Linked DNA regions of Schizosaccharomyces pombe. The protein of the gene in region 1 interacts with the protein of each later gene in a biochemical or structural test. Each region holds a gene or a part of one and is shown in the gene's direction. Other genes may lie near its edges. The genes, in order: pkl1 and gtb1.

Region 1 (5,806 bases):
ATTCTGTAACAATATAAAACCTTCAGTGAATTGGATCTTCTTCAGTGCTTACGTCTATAACATAGTCACCGGTTTCGTGAACTTCAGCTTCATAGTCGGCAGCACTGTACAAATCTCCTTTCTGCATTAAACCGGCTTGTTCTTCATGAGAATTCAATAACTCAGAAATAGTTTTTAGGAGATTTTCTATCGCTTCGTTTACTAGAGAACCAAAGCTACCATCCACTTTCCTTTCACTTAGACTATCAAGGCAAGATAGTAAAACGCCTTTCTCAAAAATGGCAGACGTTTCTAAGTCGGATTCACTTAGTGAGCTAAGCTGAAGTTTGAAAAGCTCCAAAAAGGAAGCGTAAAACTCTGGTTCAGTTTCCGCCAATTCATAAGACTGCAATAGCAAACTCAACATATTCTTCCAATGCTCCAAAGCACCATAGTGGGAGAGAATAGAGTAGCTCAGAAAGGAAATTGATAATTCCGCTAATGCAGAGATGGGATTGTCATTCCACACGCTTTGGACGAGTCTTTGAAACAAAAACGATTTATCAATTGCTTGCTTAGACCGTTCAGGTCCAGTGGCAGACGGCGACCAGCTTCGTCGTAAATTGAATTCAGCGAAATTTAATAGTTTATCGTCTCGAGAGGGTTTTGAGAATTCCGGATCTTGTGACACAAGATCAGCGTTGACATACGTTGAAGTGTCTAAGTAGAAAAATTCACCTTCAGTAGCAAAAATTCTTTGAAGATCTTGAACTGTAATGAACTTCGTCAACAAGTCCCAATCCTTTGTTGATTCAAAGGGATAAAAGTTTTCGTCATATAATACATCAAGCTTCTGCAAAGAAGCTGTTTCAGATTTCGAATCAAAGTCGATACTATATTTCATATCTTCATGGACCATAGCAAAAACTCCAGAAATTAATCCAGCAGGGTATGTTGGAGACCAAGTGAAAAGATGAATTCCACCTTTTACATTTCGAATACCTGGAAGCTTACTAGCTTCATATGAACTCTGATCAATGCCAACGTAATATGTATTTAACCATCCGACAAACTCTATACTCATTATATACAAAACAAATTATTCCATATCTTCATTTATTTTGTCTATTAAGTTGAATTTAAGATCGTAGACATTGGTCAAAGCTAAGTTTCAGGCTACTGATTTAAGAGTTATAGCGATGGATATTATAAAAAACACCATAATACATTAAAGGTTTTTGGGTGTCAGCAATTCTACACTACGCTATAATATACATCGTTTCGTATCACTAAATATCGCCTGCTAGAATAGTAGTTAAGATCTATTTATTCATAGTTACGGATAAAATTCCATCTATCTAAATATATTCCAATTGATATAAATTAATCGAGACATTTTAAATAAAGCTACAACTGAACCTCGCTCCTTTAGTTTAGTCGTTAGCTAGATCGCTGACTGGACACTATTAGACTTCTTTAAAGTAATAAAAGTAACAATTGTTAGTTAAACGTACAACCTACCGCTACATGGCAAATCGTAATATAAGCTCACCGAAATTTTAGGTAGTGTTACACATTTCCGCGGACTTTGTAATTCACTTAAAGACACGTAAGGATACACTGAATTTGTTTGAGATATTCCAAAAATCAATCAGGGAATGTGGAATTACATAATATAAATAATATTACTTAAGTACTATTTGTTAATGGAATCAATTGTATTCTATACACCATTGATTAATAACATAGATGGATATACACGAGAGGCTTGAGACATATAATGATGCGTAGCATTGGAATTTGCTTAACAATTTAACACTCATATTTAACCCACGTAAAATAGTTTTACGTTTCTTAAAGCATCTGCTAATCAAAATCTGTTTTGTCGAGCTGATAAATTCGTGTTTATAGTATTGGGAAGAATTACTCTATAAAACGCTCTTTTTAACTTATAGATGGTAATTGAGGTAAGAGGTACTTCTGAGTAACTTATCTTATTAATGCGAAAGAATACAAAGGACATTTCCATAAACACAGGGTATAAACGACAGGAAGATGCTTTAAACACAGATTCTGAGGACTTAATATATCGACCAAAAAAAATTATTAAAACAAATCAAGAGGATGCAGTACATGATTTGAAATACGAAAATTTCGTATCAAAAAATCACGTTTTACAAAGCGACATTAATGGCAAGAAGAGGGACAGCAATCGAGACAAGGCCGCTGTAGTCACAGCGCCAATTGCTTCTACTCATGAATCTAATTACGAAGAATCTGTTTCCAAATTTAAAGAGAGTTGGCTGCCTCAATTAAAAGATCTCATTGAATCTCATAAAACAATATGCGAATCAACGTTAGCCTACGAGAGTGATCAAGCTATGGCTTCTTCTAATACATTAAAGAGAATAAAAGATTTAAAAAGCAAACCAAAAAATATTATACAGTTAGAAAGGTTGCATATGCTATCTAATGGCGAACATCGTTTATTATCGAAAGACGAAACCGATGATATTGAGTCTGCATACTTGAACCTTAGATCACATCTTCAGGTACAAGAACAGGTTTACGCTGAAAAGGATCATGAATATTCGTTACAACTTCAATCATACAGAGAGGCAGCAGAAAAGGCCAAGCAAGATAGTAAGAATACATGTCTTTATGCTGACTTTATTTGATTACTAACTATTTTAAAGTTTTAGAAACAAAAGAAAATCTTTCCTCTGAATTATCGATATCGAATATCCAGTTGAAGGAAGCCAAGGAAAGGTTAGAAGCTGCGAATGCAAGCTACCAAAAGCTACGTCGAGAACACAAAGAACTTGCACTTTATCATGAAAAGAAAACACATTCTCTAGTTTGTAATCTAAATGGTGAACGAAAATCCTTTGGGGATTTTGTTGAGAACGAAGTAAAGTCATATAAACATGAATATGCCAATATTTGTGAATCACTTCGGAGAGCTCTAGTGCTGATACAAGGTTCTTGTACTGAGAAAATTTTGCGTTTTAAAGAAAAAATTCTGGACTTATTAGAAATGAAACAACAAGAAGAAAATGATCGAATATCCCACATTGAATATGAGAATGATTTAACGGTTAAAAAGCTTAAAAGGAGAATATCTGAGTTGGAAATGGCAGTAAAAGAATATGAATCGGAAAAATCATACTCGGAAAAAGAATATGAAGAAAAAATCTCCTCTCTGCGTATAGAATTAGAAGACAAGTTAGCTGAAATTGACATGCTTCGAAATAAACTGTTAAAGGAAGAGCATAAACACCACTCTACATCTGAAAAACTTGAAGAACTTTCTAAATATGTTGCAAGTATTCAAGATAAAGAAAGAAATAATGGCCAGAACGCATTGGAACTACAAGCTCGAATCCAACAGCTGGAACGGAGAAATGAAGATATGTATAATAAACTGTTAGCAGAAGAAATAATCAGACGAAAGCTGCATAACGACATTCAAGAACTAAAGGGAAATATTCGAGTTTTTTGTAGGGTTAGACCACTACTCCCAAGTGAAGAATCCGAATATTGCATTGCTGATGTTTTACAATTTCCAGATAAAGACGCACTAGAGCCACAAAAACTTATTCTTAAAGGGCCTAATGTTGAATCATCACTCGGGCATACTTATGATCGTAATTATGAATTTTCCTTTGATCGAGTCTTTGCTCCTGAAAGCGATAACTCGTCCGTTTTTGAGGAAATATCACAGTTAATTCAAAGCGCTATTGATGGTTATAATGTTAGTATATTTGCATATGGACAAACAGGATCGGGTAAGACGTACACAATGTCGTCACAAGACGGTATGATAGCGATGTCAATTAAGCATATATTTAATTATCTATCAACCTTGAGGGAGAAAGGGTGGGTGTATAAATTGAGAGGTCAGTTTTTGGAAATTTACAATGAAACGATTTATGATCTATTAAACAAAGCGGAAATGTTGAAAAATCCTAAGCACGATATTCATCATGATGAAAAGGAAAGACGAACAACAGTGGATAACGTTTCAATAATTGATTTTAATGAAGAAGATACTGTTTACAAGATGCTAAATCGAGCAGGAGAAAATCGATTTATAGCAGCGACAAAAGCAAATGAACGGTCTTCAAGATCACACACTGTTTTCATGCTGTATATAGATGGTGAAAATTCTAGAACCAAACAAATATGTAAAGGTACGCTAAATCTAGTTGATTTGGCAGGTTCTGAGCGGTTAAGTTACAGTCAGGCAGTTGGGGATAGACTACGAGAAACGCAAGCTATTAATAAAAGTCTCAGCTGTCTTGGCGATGTTATCCATGCACTTGGAAATGCCTCAAATAGTACCACGAAGGAAAAGTCTCACATACCATACCGAAATTCAAAGGTGAGTATTAGAATGAAAAGTTCTTTACGAAACACGTTCTTTAACTGTCAAAGTGGCTACTTATTTGCTTTGCAGCAGTGTGTAAAGTCTATATTGAAAGCATTTTTGTACTAACCAGACATTAGCTAACTTATTTGTTAAAATATTCACTTGGAAAAGGTGCCAAAACCCTGATGTTTGTTAATGTGTCTCCTTTAAAGTCGCAATTCATGGATACATTAAATAGTCTGCGATTTGCAACAAAAGTCAATGATACAAAAGTAGGTTCTATTAAACATTATAAACGTTAAGCTTATTTTAGAGTAAAAAATGTTTACCAAAGCATTTAAGATGCTGGGTTTGGTGGAGCAGCTGCTGCTTGTGCTTGAATGATGGCACCTTTAACTTTGCTGAATTCTTCTTGTGAGATTTTTGTTTGATTTTCGAGGCGTGCACTATAATTATGAATTAATAAAATGACATACGCAATTCGATAATACAAATGAAGAAGTACAACTCGCATTTTTAGAGAGCGATTTTAACCTCAAGGAAATTCTTCTTTTTCAAATTTCAACAAACATACATTTCTTTATTAATGAAATCCAATCTTGTTTTAACGTTGGTCTTTGCTTCCTCATGACTTTGCTTTACAAGGGTAGGACCGATTTGCTTATATATATTTGAGTCAGGAGCCACTTTTTCCAATTCCTAATTCGCATTAACAAAACAATTCTAATATAAATGGAGAAAATAGGGAAAATAGTAATTTTTGTGGCCTTAACGTACATTGAGGACAGTAGTGTTTTCTTGTAATTGGGTTTCCAACTTTTTTAAACTTTCGACATAAGTGCTTAGTTCTTGGGAATTTCGTTAATTATTTAATTCGATGCAGAAGGTTTTGATTTACCTGTTTGTAGGTTCTGATATTTTTTAGCTAATTCCTCCATTTCTATTCCTGTGTAAAAAGACGTAAAAGGATAGTAGGTAAAGAGACATTCTACTTACCTTGAAAGTCAGCTGAAATAGCGAAGTTCGTTGAAATTCTATATTATGAACAAAATATATTTTAATTGTGTGATATGATTGATTTTATGACTATATTGGATAAAAACGAGAAATAAATAAAACCGAATTAATTTAAACAGAGAAATGTAAGCTACACTAGGAAATCGATTTATGAATGAGTGAATGAAGGTGTTGCTGAAATTTTGAGTAAAGACTCACTGTTTTGATACAACAAAACTACTTGGTTCAGTATATAAATTAGTGAATTGCAAACCTTTTTTTTGAATAAAGGATATGAAAAATATTGTTTTAGTTCACTTCTCAACTGCATCCTTCTGGAATTAACAATTCGTAAATAATGAAACCGTTTTAATGAATACAAAAATGTCTTATTAATATTCAAAGATATAAAGGAAATATTTTGAATGGAGATAAAGCTTCAGATATCATTGTTCTTTA
Region 2 (5,426 bases), on another chromosome or scaffold:
TACTAATAGAATGAGTAGGTTGAAAGTAAGGTGTAGCGCGGCTGACCGTCCTACTTATGTTTCCAGCTGACCTTATTTCATAATGACATCAGACCTTAGTTTGGGTCAACACGATCTTTTAACAAGAGAAATTTACGTAAAATTAATAAAAATTCCAAGGAAGAAAAGTCGGATCGCATTTATCAAAAGAAATCTTATTTATTTAATCAGTCTCACATTCTTTTTCCTTTGTTTGCTGCTTTTAAAGTTAAAAAAAGGATATGTCGCAGTATACTGCCATTGTCTTTTGTCAACATACCACCAAAATGACAGAAATTTTTGCTGCTATTTAGTAAAAATATTTCAAATTTCGTATTTGTAAAGGTTATGCATAGAATGGCTGAGACTCATACTTAAACAGTATAGGTATCTAAACATTGTATGGGGCGATTGTAGCAGCAAACGATTAAGTAGTTTGCGTTAGTTACAACACCTAGTAATGGTTTGCTACCTTTTGTTTAAAATAATAGTAGACGAGATTGCCAATGGCCGATGTTGTTTATCTTAAAGTTGAAAGTGAAGCGAAACCTTTTTCTAACTTTAAGAGTGGGATTTCTTCCATCCAAAAGAATATGCACTGCAACAAGATATAGGACACAGGCAAATTATTTGACAAAAACAAGGAACCGTATAACTACTTTTTTACTTTAATCTACAAATAAATTAGTAGGATGTAGAAAAAGGTATCAGTGATAGATTATTTATGTATTATCTTAAAAGTATTGTTTTTTGCCCTTTGAAGGGCAAAAAGCAAAAAGGATCAAAATTATGCTCCAGCAGTGACTTGAACACTGGGCCTCTTGCTTACTAGGCAAGCGCTCTACCACTGAGCTACAAGAGCTAGTTGGAATCATTTGCTAAAAGGTATATATATATGCATAACTATTAAGAAATGCTCAGTATTTTTTTGAAATAGAAAATGTTGATATTCGGTTTCTATTATTAAGTTTTAAATTCCAAACATTGTAAATATGTCGTCGTTCTTTACATTCTTTTTTTAATAAATCTTGGTTTAAGTTAAAACCCAATTTTACAAGCTCGCAACTTTGTTGTTAATAAAAAAAAATGTTACACCTGCTAAATAAATATTAAAATCAAACTGTTGTTGTGTGGTATTACCTTATTGAGCTTAATTATAATTTCAGTAAAAATTTATGTTCAATTTTTTTTTTTACTTTCAATTAATTTATTTATTTATTAATTTGTAAAATATTTAGACCTTTGCCAAATAATTATTTGTTAATTTTTCATTTTCTACAATCTGTATTAATTAAGATAAAATTGTCTTCAAAAATACTTTTAGTTTTTGGAAAATCATTTGTTTCAGTGTTTGAGTATCCACATGAATTGTCTAATTTTATATCACTATTATTTTTTTATTCGAACACTCATAAATTGTGTCTATTGTGTTACTTTCAATTTTAATATTTACATTCAAAGTTGCATATATTTTTTACGAAATAATGTACTAAATGATTTAGAAATATTTAGATACGATAGTAATCAATACTAAATTTTATGACACATTCTAAATTCACTTACTTTGGCTTTCTAATTTCCTGTTAGAAAAATTGTCATTCCTAATTGAATTTTGCAGCAATGCTCGAATCAGCTCCAAGGTTGATAAATTTATAGTCAAGAAATATGTAATTATTTATAATAATCTAGTCTAGTTGACCTGGAAAATGTTTGCTTTTCTTACTACCAACCTTCTCTTATCGACCTACAGTTCACCCAAGCACAGCGAAATACCTCAAGATACCCTTCTTTTGAAAACCACCTATTTCAGCAAAAAATCTTTCGCGGTTGTACTTTTAAGTAAGAAGCAAACATCAAAGATTGTTTGCTCCTTCATTGTTTAATCATGGGCAGAGAAATCATTACGTTACAAGCTGGTCAATGTGGTAATCAAAGTATGTTCACCTATACTACTATTAATCAAATCGAAATTCTAATTACTCACAAACTTGTCTAGTTGGTTCACAATTCTGGCAACAGTTGTGTTTGGAACATGGCATTGGGCCTGATGGCACGCTAGAAAGTTTCGCAACTGAGGGTGTTGATCGAAAAGACGTTTTTTTCTACCAGGTTGGTTTATTGATACACTTTAAAGTTTCAACATGTTAACTCATTTTAGTCTGATGATACTAGATACATTCCTAGAGCCATTTTGATTGATCTGGAACCAAGAGTATGTTATCGCATCCTTTTATTAGTATTTGCTGAAATATTCAAGTGACTAATGTCCTCTTTACCTTAGGTGGTCAACAATATTCTAAGCGACACCTACGGCAGCCTTTATAATCCCGAAAATATACTTATTACCAAAAATGGAGGAGGTGCTGGCAATAATTGGGCTAATGGTTATTCGCATGCTGAGAGGATTTTTGAAGATATAATGGACATGATAGATCGTGAAGCTGATGGAAGTGATTCTCTAGAGGGTTTCTCGCTTTTACATTCTATCGCTGGTGGAACGGGTTCTGGGCTGGGCTCTTTCTTGCTTGAGAGATTAAACGATCGTTATCCCAAGAAGATTATCCAAACTTATTCAGTATTCCCTAATAGTCAATCCGTATCAGATGTTGTGGTTCAGCCTTACAACAGTCTTCTTGCATTGAAGCGACTGACATTGAATGCTGATTCTGTTGTTGTGTTGGACAATGCAGCACTTGCTCATATTGCTGCTGATCGGTTACATACTCAGAACCCTACGTTTCATCAACAAAACCAATTGGTAATTGATTTATATTAGGTCTTTTCATCAACTAACTATTCTAGGTTTCAACTGTTATGTCTGCCAGTACAACAACTTTAAGATATCCTGGCTACATGAACAACGATCTTGTCAGTATAATAGCTTCATTAATTCCAAGTCCTCGCTGTCACTTTTTACTAACCTCATACACTCCTTTTACCAATCAGCAAGTGGAAGAAGCAAAGGCCATTCGGAAAACTACCGTGCTTGATGTGATGAGAAGGTTGTTGTTGCCTAAAAACCAGATGGTTTCCGTCAATCCTAGCAAAAAGAGTTGCTTTATTAGTATTTTGGATATCATTCAAGGAGAAGCAGATCCGGCGGACGTTCACAAATCCTTGCTTCGCATAAGAGAACGACGATACGCTTCATTCATTCCTTGGGGACCAGCAAGTATACAAGTTGCACTTTCTAAAAAGTCGCCCTATATAAAAACGAACCACCGTGTTAGTGGACTTATGCTTGCAAATCACACTAGTATTGCCTCTGTATGTTTCTGCAAATTTTTTTTTGAGACATTTAATACTAATCTTTGTAGTTATTCAAGAGAACACTAGATCAATATGATCGTTTGCGGAAACGAAATGCCTTTTTAGAGCAATATAAAAAGGAGGCTATTTTCGAAGATGATCTTAACGAATTCGATTCTTCTCGGTAAGTATCTTGTCTTATAATTTCATATTTTGAGTTAATTTACTAATGTATTTGACAGCGACGTCGTTGCCGACTTGATCAATGAATACGAAGCTTGTGAAGATCCCAATTATTTATCTCTTTAAAAAATCCTTCATAGTTTACGATGTCAAAGCAGACTTAAAATATAAAATTAATTCTCCTATCCTAGTCCTACTTCATAATCTATGAAATTCTGCTCAGCAAAGCATTTTTACGCCTTTCTAAAAGAATGGCTTCAACATCGTCTCTAGTTGGTATTTGCTCAATGACAAGAGGTTTCCAATCTTGTTCAACTTCATCACCAAGGTTCTCAAGATGTTTATGTTGTTGTTCTTCAATCTTTGCCTCAAAATCTTCTAATAGACTCTCTTGTGCTGGCGGTATGTAACCAAAGTACCAGGCGTCTAACCTTCTTTTCTGCATCTCCTGTTTGCGCTGTCTTTCCGGTATAAAACTCATATCAGCTTCAAAAAGTTCCTTAACGCCAGGTAACTCTCGAGCTCTTCCGTAATAACGATAATCGTCTATATCACTGATTTGTTCTCCTTCATCCTCAAATAGCTTTGCTTTATTATACAGATAATTAATCCCACCCAGATCACGAATTTGTACCTCCCATTCGTGTTTTTCACGCATCAATCGATTAATTGCATCGTTCAAATCTCGAATTTGATATTCAGGCAACGTTGCTATTCATGGTTAGAATACACAGAAATGATAAAAGCGGAATCAAGTTTAGCAAGTTAATTAAATTTGCTAATAAAACAATCTAGGACGTACCACTTTGAATTCGAGAGATCTTGCGAGAGATATCTTTTACTACACTAGCCCTATGTTTTTCACATATCGGCACAGACTTAATGCTTTTTATATCCTTGGGTCTCTTTTCCGTTGGTTTGCTGCCCACTACATACTATAACAAAGGGGTTAGTGACTGACGCTTAGGTTCTCATGCATATTCGTATGAACCTTACTTTCGCTGATGACATTGTAAAATTAAATGAAAATGATAGACTTGGTAATTAAAAAAATAGAGAAGGAAAGGCTCATTAAAATTTGACACAGAAAATAAATAATATAGACAAGTTTTATGGTATTTATCGAAATCAAGGCAAACCCAACACTTAATTAATTGACCTTCAACAGCCAATTCTTATTTAAGTACTTGAAAATTTGCTCAAGTTCCACCGATTGTGAAGACAAGCAAAAAACTTATAAGCAAGAAATTGAATGCATACAAGTAGTTATTTCGTGTAAGAAACACTTTATAAAACGGAAAAGAACAGCCAAAGTGAATAAGCTTATTGAAGCGCAACAAGCTTCTTAATTCATGGATAACGAAGTCCTCTTCTAAAAAAAGTACTAGTCTAAATAGTAACTAAGTATTTTATGTTCACTACAATTAAAGGATGATATTATTGCATAAATGGTCCCTTTCAAAATGATTACCACTTTTAATCCATCGTATTCAATATACTGTCAAGAATTAGGCAATTGTTGATGAAGTAGGTAACATCAATCATTTGGAAAAGTTCATTTCATCTCTTTGGTATCGGCTTTAACCTAAAAAAGAGTTGTTTATAAGAGATTAGCAGAACGATTTATAAGTATACAGTTGATTTTTTGAATATCTTACAAAGACTTAAAATTAAACAATCGTTGAGACCGTCAAAATCGTTAAAACTGACTTACGAATTATTCTAATAATCACTATATTCAATCAACGTAAATGGACAAGCATCGTTGTGGTAGATTTCCCCCTGAAAGATAGTAACCACCCTCCATTCTTCGCATTCTTTAGTTGAGGTATGTTAATTATATACTAAATGATTTACTGTTCTTTGATTTTGCTTATTCTTGCTCAATTATAGTTTGTTTTTAATAATTTGGCGACGGTAATCTCATATATAAAATCGATGAATTTCACATGAGTGAAGTAATAAAATCTGTACCC

What was found.
Region 2: the proteins of pkl1 (region 1) and gtb1 interact in a test that uses a peptide from one of them, tested with the Schizosaccharomyces pombe proteins (one study listed by BioGRID).

What each region holds. Positions count from the first base shown.
Region 1 is NC_003424.3:3,436,999-3,442,804, forward strand, and holds pkl1 (kinesin-14 family minus-end directed microtubule motor Pkl1), read left to right. Parts: upstream 1-1,891; 5' UTR 1,892-1,934; coding exon 1,935-1,946; intron 1,947-1,984; exon of another isoform or gene 1,985-1,988; coding exon 1,989-2,622; intron 2,623-2,675; coding exon 2,676-4,363; intron 4,364-4,488; coding exon 4,489-4,653; 3' UTR 4,654-4,688; coding exon of another isoform or gene 4,689-4,797; 3' UTR 4,798-4,925; coding exon of another isoform or gene 4,926-5,050; 3' UTR 5,051-5,119; downstream 5,120-5,806. Other genes in the region: U5 snRNP-associated protein Aar2, read right to left, coding at 23-1,063; pfd6 (prefoldin subunit 6), read right to left, coding at 4,689-4,797, 4,926-5,050, 5,129-5,199, 5,250-5,289.
Region 2 is NC_003423.3:2,789,567-2,794,992, forward strand, and holds gtb1 (gamma-tubulin Gtb1), read left to right. Parts: upstream 1-1,784; 5' UTR 1,785-1,903; coding exon 1,904-1,952; exon of another isoform or gene 1,953-2,014; coding exon 2,015-2,127; exon of another isoform or gene 2,128-2,176; coding exon 2,177-2,230; exon of another isoform or gene 2,231-2,299; coding exon 2,300-2,776; exon of another isoform or gene 2,777-2,820; coding exon 2,821-3,285; intron 3,286-3,335; coding exon 3,336-3,451; intron 3,452-3,509; coding exon 3,510-3,576; 3' UTR 3,577-3,655; coding exon of another isoform or gene 3,656-4,161; 3' UTR 4,162-4,252; coding exon of another isoform or gene 4,253-4,385; 3' UTR 4,386-4,446; coding exon of another isoform or gene 4,447-4,461; 3' UTR 4,462-4,618; downstream 4,619-5,426. Other genes in the region: protein Cwf12, read right to left, coding at 3,656-4,161, 4,253-4,385, 4,447-4,461; P-TEFB-associated cyclin T Pch1, read left to right, coding at 5,400-5,426. UniProt on the Schizosaccharomyces pombe protein: Tubulin is the major constituent of microtubules. The gamma chain is found at microtubule organizing centers (MTOC) such as the spindle poles or the centrosome, suggesting that it is involved in the minus-end nucleation of microtubule assembly.